Coturnix japonica: one gene and its partners. The protein of the gene in region 3 purifies or fractionates together with the protein of the main gene of each other region. This does not show direct contact. Links are inferred from orthologs where the notes say so. Each region holds a gene or a part of one and is shown on either strand. Other genes may lie near its edges. The genes, in order: KIF3C, KIF3B and KIFAP3.

What was found.
Region 1: the proteins of KIFAP3 (region 3) and KIF3C purify together in Homo sapiens (co-immunoprecipitation; 3 studies listed by BioGRID and IntAct, counting the BioPlex papers as one, with this or other methods). This does not show direct contact. The link is inferred for Coturnix japonica from reciprocal best matches to the Homo sapiens genes KIFAP3 and KIF3C.
Region 2: the proteins of KIFAP3 (region 3) and KIF3B purify together in Homo sapiens (co-immunoprecipitation; 7 studies listed by BioGRID and IntAct, counting the BioPlex papers as one, with this or other methods). This does not show direct contact. The link is inferred for Coturnix japonica from reciprocal best matches to the Homo sapiens genes KIFAP3 and KIF3B.

What each region holds. Positions count from the first base shown.
Region 1 is NC_029518.1:95,738,107-95,741,755, reverse strand, and holds part of KIF3C (kinesin-like protein KIF3C), read left to right. Parts: intron 1-94; coding exon 95-213; intron 214-1,331; coding exon 1,332-1,448; intron 1,449-1,638; coding exon 1,639-1,747; intron 1,748-2,768; coding exon 2,769-2,944; intron 2,945-3,514; coding exon 3,515-3,608; 3' UTR 3,609-3,649.
Region 2 is NC_029535.1:8,902,640-8,906,388, reverse strand, and holds the start of KIF3B (kinesin-like protein KIF3B), read left to right. Parts: upstream 1-1,526; 5' UTR 1,527-1,614; intron 1,615-2,295; exon of another isoform or gene 2,296-2,729; intron 2,730-2,787; exon of another isoform or gene 2,788-2,889; intron 2,890-3,319; 5' UTR 3,320-3,375; coding exon 3,376-3,749. Other genes in the region: POFUT1 (GDP-fucose protein O-fucosyltransferase 1), read left to right, coding at 67-255. UniProt on the Homo sapiens protein: Microtubule-based molecular motor that transport intracellular cargos, such as vesicles, organelles and protein complexes. Uses ATP hydrolysis to generate force to bind and move along the microtubule. Plays a role in cilia formation.
Region 3 is NC_029523.1:6,583,774-6,587,422, reverse strand, and holds part of KIFAP3 (kinesin-associated protein 3), read left to right. Parts: intron 1-2,974; coding exon 2,975-3,164; intron 3,165-3,649. UniProt on the Homo sapiens protein: Involved in tethering the chromosomes to the spindle pole and in chromosome movement. Binds to the tail domain of the KIF3A/KIF3B heterodimer to form a heterotrimeric KIF3 complex and may regulate the membrane binding of this complex.

The DNA of each region.
Region 1 (3,649 bases), on a different chromosome or scaffold from region 3:
CCTGGCGGCTCCAGTGCCACTGGGGTCACCCATTACACCACTCCCTGGGGACACCCATGCCACCAGGGCTGATGCCATCTCTCTCTGGGTACAGCTTTACGCCAAGCTGCAGGCTGTGAAGGCAGAGATCCAGGACCAGCACGACGAGTACATCCGTGTGCGGCAGGACCTGGAGGAGGCACAGAACGAGCAGACACGGGAGCTCAAGCTCAAGTAGGTGCCATTGGTGTCCCATCAGGTGGGCAGTGAGGCTGAGGTCCCCCTGCCCCGCACCCCAGCCCCAGCAGTGCCACTCACAGCATCCAGCCTCTCACCTGGGGCCTGCAGGAGATCCCTATGGAGGAGGCAGTCATTCTCTTCACTATCTTACCACAACCAACCCAGACATGTATAAATATTTTAACGTTTTCATGATAAAATATTTAAAATTCTGCTCGGAGCACAATTTTGTGTCCAGTTTTGCTCCACACCCTTTGGAACGTAATTAAAATGCTTTAAGAGCGTGCAAAACCTCAGTCAGCAACTCATCCATTCCAAACCATTTTCTGCAGCTTCTTTATTTGCCCCAAAGCAACGTGGCAAAAAGAGGGGGGGAAAAAAATCCCTTCAGGGTCAGTTTTAAGGTGTTTCCTCTCATTTTCTCATCCGGCAGCTCTGCTGTGGGCTGAGATCATGCAGACCTTTCTGTGTTGTGCTGCTGCAACAGTGGGGCCAGTTTGGATTTCCATTCCACTGAGCAAAGGGGTTGGGTTTGGGGTGCTCCCGAGGGGTCCTGTGTGAATCGGTGCAAAATGCATTGCAAACTGCATTGCAAGCAAGGTTGCGAACAGTGCAAGCTGCACTACGAGTTGTGTCTTGCAGTCTGTGTTTCAAAACTCATTGTAAATTGTGCCTTGCAGATTGTAGGCCATACATCACAGAATGTATTTTAGTTTCATTTCAGACTGTGTATTTCAAACAGCTGCAGGTTGCATTGCAGACCATGCATTGCAGACACTGCCTGGGGGTTGCTAAGGACAGGACCGTGGGGTTACACCCTGAAGGCAGCATGCAGAGCTGATGATGTTTCTTCTGCTCCTCTCTGAATGACAGTCTTCCTCTGCCCTTTCTCTCCTGCCTCTGCTGGATCCATGGCCCCTACCCGCCCGCTCTGTCTTCCTCTCCTCCCCATTCATGTTTTCACCCCCCATCTGCTCTCTGTGTCCTGGCTCCTCTCCTGACCTCTCCTCTCCACTCCCTTTGCTCCACTCGCTGTGCCCTGTCCTGTTACCTCCCTCCTTTCCACTCTGTCCCACCTGCCACTCCTCTCTCCTGGCCTGTCCCTCACTCAGGTACCTGATCATCGAGAACTTCATCCCACCAGAGGAGAAGAACAAGATCATGAACCGCCTCTACTTTGACTGCGAGGAGGACCAGTGGAAGTTCCAACCGTTGGTGCCGGCCGGCGGGTGCGTGTGGGCATGGGCAAGGGCTGGGGACATCACTGGGTTGGGCAGTGCAGTGTCACCACCCATGGGACATGGGGAAATGATGGAGGTGCCCACGGGTGGCACCAGGGTGTTCTATTGGGTCCCATCCTGTGCTCGGGGAGCTCAGTGCTGTCATTCATGTTGCCTAATGGGTGTTCCTCTCTTTCAGGAACAGTAACCAAATGAAGAAGAGGCCAACATCTGCAGTGGGGTATAAGAGACCCATCAGCCAGTATGCCCGTGTGGCCATGGCCATGGGATCACATCCACGGTATCGGGTAAGGGAGGGGACGCTGCTGGTATGTGCTGGGGGACAAGGTGGTGGTGGGTCAGCGGGGAGGATGGATGAGATGAATGAGTGGGTTGGGTGGATGGATGGATGGATGGATGGATGGATGGATGGATGGAGTGCATGGGATGGATGGAGTGGATGGATGGTGGATGGATGGATGGATGGATGGATGGATGGATGGTATGGACAGGTGGGTGGATGGATGGATGGATGGATGGATGGATGGATTGGATGGATGGATGGATACGGACATGATGGATGGATGGATGGATGGATGGGTGGATGGGTAGATGGTGGTTGGGATGCATGGAAGGATAGGGTTCATGGGATAATGGGGTGGACAGGATGGGTGGATGGATGGGTAGTTGAGATGTATGGAATGATGGGGTTCAAGGGGAAATGAAAAAAAAATTTGGGGTGGACAGGATGGGTGGATGGGACAGATGGATGGGATAGGTGGATGTGTGGATGGATGGATGGATGGATGGATGGATGGATGGATGGATGTGTGGGTAGGGTAGATGGATAGCTGGCATATGAGATGATCTTAAAGGTCCCTTCCAACCCAAACCATTGTATGGTTCTGTATATGAATGACTGGGGTGGGTAGATGGGGTGACTGGATGAATGGGACAGGTAGGCAGATGAGTGGATGGCTGGATGGATGAATAATATGGGATGGATGGGTGGAATGGTTGGATGTCTGGAGTGGATAGATGAATAGATAAGGCAGATGGATGGACAGTGTGTACGGATGGATGGAGTGAGTGGATGAATGAGGTTAATGGCTGGGTAGATGGGTGACAGCTCCAGGCAGCTGTAGAGAATGTGGGGTAAATAAGCTCATGAAGACTGGAGATAATTTAGGTAAACCAGCTGCAGCCAGAAGATCTCTGTCCCTCAGTGTATTCAGCCTCTCAGCCATGTGGACCTACATGAGATGGTGCCATGCTTTACTGTGCCGTAACTCCGTGTGTTAACTTTCCCTTTGCCCCATCATGCTGCAGGCTGAGAACATCATGTTCCTGGAGCTGGACGTCTCCCCTCCAGCAGTGTTTGAGTTTGAGCGGAGCCGGGACCCAGCCGAGCAGGACCCACGGGCTCTGCACCTGGAGAGGCTGATGCACCTGGACAGCATCCTGGAGAGACCAGCAGCCTCCCGGGTGAGGAAGTCCCGCTCCTGGTGAGTGAACATGTGGATATTTGGGCGCTGGGGCTGAGACACTGGATATGGGACAGTGCTGGGTTGAAGACACTGCAGCCGAGGGGAAGCTGCAAGAGTGCAGGGCAGCCTGGAAGTGTTCCCTGTCTTTAGTTGGAGACAGGTTTGGGGTTCAAGGTAGGGGTTCAGGCTGGGTGGGCCTTCAGGTTCCTTCCAAGGATGGGCCTTCAGGTCCCTTCCAACTCAAAGCACTCAGGGATTCTGGGATTCTGTTCTACTGGCACAGGCTGCCATCCCTGGAGGTGTTCCAGGACCATGGAGATGTGGCACTAAGAGGGCAGTGGCACGGTGGGATGGGTTGGGGTTGGACTTGTTCTCTGGCTCTCTGAAAAACAGGTTGATGATACGGTATATCACCATGTACATATGCCCAGGATGGTTATATACAACATCCAGTGCTGCTCAGCACTGGATTTCCATCAGTGCTGCCTACATAGCAAGTCACTGAGAAAACAGCAGGATTCGGGGGCGGAGATCAGGAAAGAGGAAGCAGAAGGAAAGCATTTCTTTTTCTTCTTGTGCCACCCCCAGGTGCCAGACACCACGGTCGCTGCCATCCTCCACTACACACGTGTCCCTCGCTGCTGGCTCCCCACGCACCTCTGTGACACCGGCACAGGAGTGATGGCCCCAGGACCCCATAATCCCAGGACCCCCAACCCCAGG
Region 2 (3,749 bases), on a different chromosome or scaffold from region 3:
GCTAAGACAGTTGGGTGGTAATAATAGTTGTCTAGATTCATTTACTTTCCTTCTTTTTCTCCACAGATCAAAGTTGTCAGCTTGCAGCCAGAGGTGGCTCAGATCGATTTATATATTCTTGGCCAATCTGATCACTTCATTGGGAACTGTGTCTCTTCATTTACCGCGTTTGTAAAAAGAGAGCGTGATGTACATGGAAAACCCTCTTCATTTTTTGGCATGGATCACCCACCAAGGTTACGGGATGAATTCTGACCAAAAGAGAAACAGGCTCGATGGTTCTCAGGGCTCTGAGCCTGGTGAGGGACCCTGCTGGTGTTGACTGCTCTGTATGCAAGGCGTGTTTCCAGCCCTTGGATACTCTGTACCATCACTCTTCTGTCTGCCTTCACTCCTGTGATACCAGACAGAAAAGAAATTTGAAGCCAAGTAGTTTATGGGAAACTGTAAACTATGTAGTTTTTAAGATATAGTTTATATAGCTCTCCATCCTCTTTTTGGGGGAGGTTTGCCAACGATTATGAAGAAGCTGCTCATTTTTATTATTTTTTTTTCTCCCATTATTAATTTTATCTGGAAATGTCATTAAGCTTCTTATTGTCCACAACTGACCATAAGTTTCTTTTAAAGTGCAAGGTATATTCAGGAATATCATGATCCCTGTATAGGAGTGCAGGATGAAGCTTAAAACTGGAAATTATAAGGTCTGGGTTTTATTGAGTGCCACTAACTGGACCCACATCACCTCAGTACCTCCTTTTCCATTCCCTGTTAAGAGATGCAATACCCACCTACAGCAGTGCGGTGAGGAGCCTTTGTGGGGCGCAGTGATCTCAGTGGTGCTGTGTTTACATGTGGCCGTTGTCCTTTCACTGGACGCAGATGGGAAATCTCTCCCAGCCAGGCAGAGGTTGGAGATGTAGGACTTTGTAGCTGTTGGTAAAAGGTGGAGGTATGTGATAGAAGCAAAAGTTTTTAGGTCAGAAGCTCCGAAGTAGCTGCCCTGTGGGTCGGTGTAAATCTTCCCTGAGTCTTTATTAATGGATTTTTATACTTTGTGAAGATAGTCCCTCTGACAGCACAATTCCTGGCTGTAGGGCTCATTCCCAGCACGGCAAACTGGGAACAAACAGCAACAAGAAAACATGTGGGTGTACAAGGAAATCCATTCGGCACGGTGAAGTTCAGTGCTGGTCACCTGTGGTAACCCCAATTTGGCCAGTGTGTTTCCTTAGCACCAGCCAAAGGATGGGATTCCCAGGGCTCGGCTTCACATGAGAGCCTGGTGTGAGAGGAAGATAAGAGAAGAGATAAGCCCAAAGTGCTGCAGGGACACTGAGGTGCTCATTCCCAACCTCTGGGCCACGGGGCTGTTTTATAACAAACGTGTTATTTTTGTAATGATAATAAAATCTCGGTTTTGTACTCAGTTGAATGGCACTCACCTTCTTTTCTCCGGGTTTATCCGCTGCTCGGAGCTGTGGTACCGGGCCTTGTGTGGAGGGGCGGGAGCGTGTTGCTAAGGAAGTGAGCGGGGAGCGGCGGCCATTCCTACCGCTCCTCTTCCGGTGCCGCGGGAGGAGGCGGCCGCGGGGCTCCATGGTGACGGCGCAGGTGAGTGCGGCCCGGCCCGGTGGGCCCAGGTGTCCCCTTAGGGCCGGGATTGAGCTCGGGCCGAGCGGGCTGGAGGTGATAGAGGGAGCGAAGCGGGCTGGGCTGGGCCCCCCGTGCTTAGAATAGAGCAGGGAAGAACCGAAGGACAAAAGCGGCCCGAACGGGATGTGTCAGCACCGAGATCGGGGAGACTCGAGCCGTGAGGAGGCGGTTGGTGGGTTTGGGGGGTGTCTGTAGTGAGGTGAGAACTGATGGGACACGGGGCTGCGGGCCGGGATGGGCGCCGTGTGTTGGGCCCGGTACCGAGCGCTGCTGATGGCCGGGGTGATGCTCCCATCACATACAGCACTCCCTTATGGGAAGCTGCACGGAGTCACAGTGCTTGTAAGGGACCTCTGGAGATCGGCTGGGCCAACCCTGAAGGCTGGGTGCTTCTTAGGTGCAGCTTCTGTGATAGAGCAGTGATGTGTTGGCATTGCTGCACAGGGGGTTCTGGGGTCACTGTCCTTGGAGGCGTTCTGGAGCCATGGGGATGTGGAGATGTGGCATTCTGGAGCCATGGGGATGTGGCTCTGAGGGACGTGGTCAGTTGGCTCTGTGTCTTAAAGGTCTTCCTTAATGATTGGGGGTCTTAAAGGGGGTCTTAAAGGTCTTCCTTAATGATTTGCTATGCTCGGTTTGCTGCTTGTTGTGGTCATTTGGAGTCCACCTCCAAATGTGTTTGTTACACCCTGAGCTGTATCTGGGTTCTCAGAAAGTAGATGAGCTGTGCGTTCTTCTAAGTGACCTCTTCATTGTTGGTCGGTGTTGGAGTGCAGCTCACTGCAATGATGTACTCACCCAACTGGTTTGCTTGACCATATTTACAGACACAACAACTGTGCTACGTCTGGCTGCCTTAACAACTTGCTTTGTAGCCAGTTTGATTGCATGGCTGTGTGAAAACTCTGGTGTAAAAATCATTGTCTCTTGATTCTTGACAGAGCAGGAAAATAACAGCAGATTTCCCTGGTGTGGAAATACAACATTCAGGGGATGGGAAATGGGCAAACTATTTAGTGGTGTTATTTTGAATCCTCACAGCTGCTGTTGCCCATTGGAACATCCATTGTGCTGTAAGTAGGCTTCTAGAAAGCAACGTCACAAGTTTTAAGTCATGAAAGAGCTTTTGGGTGGCATTCCAATGCACTTCTGTTGCTTCAGGAAAATAATGGGTGTAGGTTGTAAGCCTGTAGTAGCAGGATGGTCCTGATGATGCACCACGTCACTTCATGTGTGAGTTAATAAAGGTCTCCTAAAAATGAGAGGTTTTCTCCAATACACTGGAGATGTAAAAAGGTCACTCAGAAAATACCACGTTGATATTTTGGTGGGTGGGTGAAACACTTCATCGCAGCACCTGATTGATTCCCTTTCAGTCTGTATTCCAGGCATTATGGAGGCAGCAACTCTGTACTGGATTTTCAAAGGAGGAGATTTACATCAAAAACTTACATGATACCAATTGGCAGACAGGCTTTGCCAATACTACTCTCTTAGCTCAGGCCTTTTTAAGGTTTTTATGTTGTACATAATTCTTCAAAATCCCCCAGAACATAAACAGGCAAAATTCTGCTTGAATAGATGAGCTGAATCTTTGACTATTGGCAAAATTGTCATCTGTAGAAAACTGCCATTGTTTATTCCTCCTTTGTTCTTGTTTTAGGCTTCTAGCACTGGATCATCTGTCGATCAGATCACGTCAGCCACAGACGTGCTGTCATGTCTAAGTTAAAGAGCTCTGAGTCTGTTCGGGTGGTGGTACGATGCCGGCCGATGAACAGCAAAGAGAAGACAGCTTCGTATGAGAAGGTTGTTAATGTGGATGTCAAATTAGGGCAGGTGTCGGTGAAGAATCCACGGGGAACATCTCATGAACTGCCTAAAACTTTCACTTTTGATGCTGTGTATGACTGGAATTCCAAACAGGTTGAACTCTATGATGAGACCTTCAGACCTCTTGTGGACTCTGTTCTGCAAGGTTTCAACGGGACAATCTTTGCTTATGGGCAGACTGGAACAGGGAAAACTTACACGATGGAGGGGGTGCGTGGTGATCCTGAAAAAAGAGGGGTCATCCCCAATTCTTTTGATCA
Region 3 (3,649 bases):
CTTTATGAATGATTGAGGGGAAATACCAGCAGGTTTGAAGCCTCCTAGTGTAAGGAGAGGAATGTAGAACGCATAGGAGTGTTCAGTCTTGTTGCTTTCTAAAAAAAAAGTGGTGTTAACTGTTTTGTTTCCAGAAGGATACGAAGTTAATGTCTATTTGTGGGGGAACGTCCAACCAGTTTGAACGGTAGCATGGAATGGGGCAGTGGGGTTGGCTAAATGGGATTCCTTTGTGTTGTAATTTCTGGGAGGTTAACCCGTTTTCAAAGCTCTGTGATGGTAAATGTGAAGTAGAGATGCAGCTACTGCCCTTTCTGCTTTCGGGAACTTTTAGAAGTAAACAAGGTAATGTGAAAGGAATTCAGCTTTCCCGTGGATTAATCTAATTTACTGTTTGTTTGGTTTCTTTCTTTCTTCCACCCCTTTGCAATTGTGATTTCTGAGAATAGTTTTGCTAAGACTACAGTGTGATCTCTGGCAGTTACAAGGTGTTTCTCTAAAGCTTGTAAGTAATTCACAACTGCTGGGAGCTGATATAATAGTCCACGTTTTAGCTCTGGCAGATGCAGCAAAGTAGATGTTCCCAAGATGGCTTGTCAGGTGGCACTGAAAGTCCTGCTTTCATTCTTTCTTTCCCTGGATCATTTTATAGGCATTGATGCTGAGCCTTCCTTTCCCAGGGATTGCTCTGGGATTTCCATTTAATTGAGAGCTGAAGTGTGTGTGGGGAAATATCAAGAAGCAGAAACAGCATGAGGTGTTCTTTTTCCACACGGTGTGAGGTGTGAGGTTGGTTGCTTTGTTTTCCTCCCTAAGGACACCGCATTACTGTACGGTTGACAGGAGCTTGGAATTTTGCTGCAGGCTAACAGGGACTGGGAGCCTCCATTGATCCCACAGGTGATGCTTGTTCTGTGCGTGGGCGCTGTGCATGAGAGCAGGTGTTGAACAGAACTGCCTGAGTGCCTGGATGGTGCAGAAGGGAACTACTAAGATCACATAACCGCTGCTGATCAGACACGGATTCTAAGAAATAGGGAATGATACCACAGACTGATCATGGCCCCAGATTTGCAGCGTGCATGGATGTCCCATCAAAAAGGAATTCACCTCCTGCTCTAAGCCAGGAGAAACAAACTTCTTGTTCCTCCAAGTAAAACGGTTTTAAGACCCACTGCCATAGCATAATGGTTTGTGGTTGTACAATGCAACGTGATTCCTTGTGGAATCTTGGAGGCTTGAGATAGGCTGGTTAGCAGAGTTGGGGTATCCTCTGCCAGAAGGACTGAACCAGCTTGGTTTTTTTTTGTGTGTGTGTTATCAGCAGTCAGAAGGGTGGAAAAGGCAAAGGCTAGATAGACAGTGTGGTACCCACGTCAGGTTAACAGCAGTGAAGACAAGGTATCCTGACAAGTAAGTTTAAAAGCTCAAATTCAGTCCATAGGGCTTTTAGAAGTTTAACCCCCAAGCTACTAAACCAACTTATTCTGTCTTCACTGCTATTTTTTGACCTCGGGTTGTAGACAGATCTGCTTTTGCATGTCTAGCTGGAGCAGTTTAAGAAGTTACTACTTCTGCAGCCAAGATGTTGTTAATTGTATGAACAATCTTCCCTTCTGGGCTAAGTAAAATGGATTTTAAAAACCTTAAAGTGCTCCAGGTAGATCTCAGAGGGCAGCCTGTCTAGAGCATATGTTAACTATCTTGAGGTAAGAAATGGTTTTCAATTTCTGCCTGTTTTGGAGTTCAGTTAGAAGACAGTGAGGTGGAAGTGCTGAGACCTGCCTTACAGGGTGTTTCTTCCCACAAATAGAAATGCTTTGTTGGTTATGAATGTTGTTCTCGGTCACAATTCTTTGATTAAAAGAAGGTAATAGCCACTGTGCATTATTTGTGCATCTTCTTAAACTGATAATACCTGCAACTTTAATATGTTCACATGTGTCTATAGGTAAACAACAGCCCAGGCAGTCTGTTTTGCTTAGAGGAGCCTTCTAAACAGCTGATTGCACTGACTGCTGTGACTTTTCCTTCTGATATTCCTTTACACTGAATATCACATCATCAGAGAGTGCAGTTATTCCAGCCCAAAATTTCGTGACTACCTTTTGTTTCCATAGTAGTCTATACCTATATCCTGCTTCCCTCAGCATTCTGGAGAAGTTCTTCTCTGACTTTGTCTTTGCTTCCTGTATTCATGAATGTTGTGTGCCAATTTTGTGGGTGTTCAATATTAAAAGTAGCAATTTGTTTTGAAGTTTGTCAGGAAGCTGAGAACTAAATCCTGTTTTTCAGGTGCTCATGAAACAAAGGCTTAACTGGTTTTATCACTACCCTTTTTGTTCTTTTTGAGTAATTAGAACAGGTTGCTCAGAGGGGTTGTGGATGCCCCCTCCCTGGCAGCATTCAAGGTGAGGCTCAATGGATGGGGCTGTGAGCAGCGTGGGCTGGTGGGAAGCGTCCCTGCCTAGCAGGAGGGTTGGAACTACATGATCATAAAGGTCTCCCTTCCAACCCAAAGCATTCTATGATTCTGTAATGAATGCTTGTCTAATGAGATCAAACAGTATTTGGCCAGTGTTAGTGTTTTATTCCTGCAGACCCTCTGAAAATTGGCTGTAATAGGCTCTTCCTGATGGTCCAGGTGGGGAGACCATGATGATTGAACTCCCTTGCTCAAAGCAGGAGAGTTTTCTGGGCAGTGCAGAGTTACAGACCGTGAAGGGAAGATTGTACTGCTGCTGCACGTACAAAACCAGAGCGAGGCCTGGTGTTTGGAAAATATTGCCTTTATTGCTCAAAGCGTTCTACACACTTAAAAGATTTAAGTCAGTGAGTGCTGAAACTTGAATCTTTTGCTGATGTTAAATTCCTCTGCTATTTCCTGTTAAACCAAACAGGTCTTTGTCTATTCTTCATCGCAGCCTCTTGTGTGGTCATTTTTGGTTTGGTTTTTTTTTTTTTTTACTAACAGGAATATGATGAGGAATGGGCGAAAAAAATCCAGAGTGAGAAATTTCGATGGCACAACTCTCAGTGGCTGGAGATGGTGGAGAGTCGGCAGATGGATGACAGTGAGCAGTATCTGTATGGGGACGATCCTATTGAGCCCTACATCCATGAAGGAGATATTCTGGAAAGACCTGATCTCTACTACAACGCAGGTAAGAGCACACGTTGGTATTCAGCGCAGGGATAGCTGCCTCTCTTTGTATTTGAAACCAGGATCTGGCCTGTTGCTGTAGGAAGAATGCTCAGAGCAGTGGTAAAACTGTCTCTGTGTGTCAGTGGGAGCAGTGCTGATGCATATTTGCTGGGGATTTGTGTCCTCCCTCCAGGGGTTGCTTTTGCCAACCCTTTCAGGTACAGTATCAGCCTGCAGGGAGATCTCATGAAATAAGTTACCCACTGGATTAATGTCTTCATAGCCTTCAACAACTAGGGGTTGGCTTACGCATTCAAGCTTGTGGTTTTATTTCCTTTTCAAACTCCTGCATAGCTGTGTATGTGCGTGTGGCTTTTGAATTTTCCATACAAGTGTCCAGTCCTTTGCTATGAAGCATGAGTCACAAAACTCTGACTCTGGATGGATTTGCAGGAGTATTAATAAGACAAACAAAACCACTGAAATCAGTCAGCTTTATTTGCA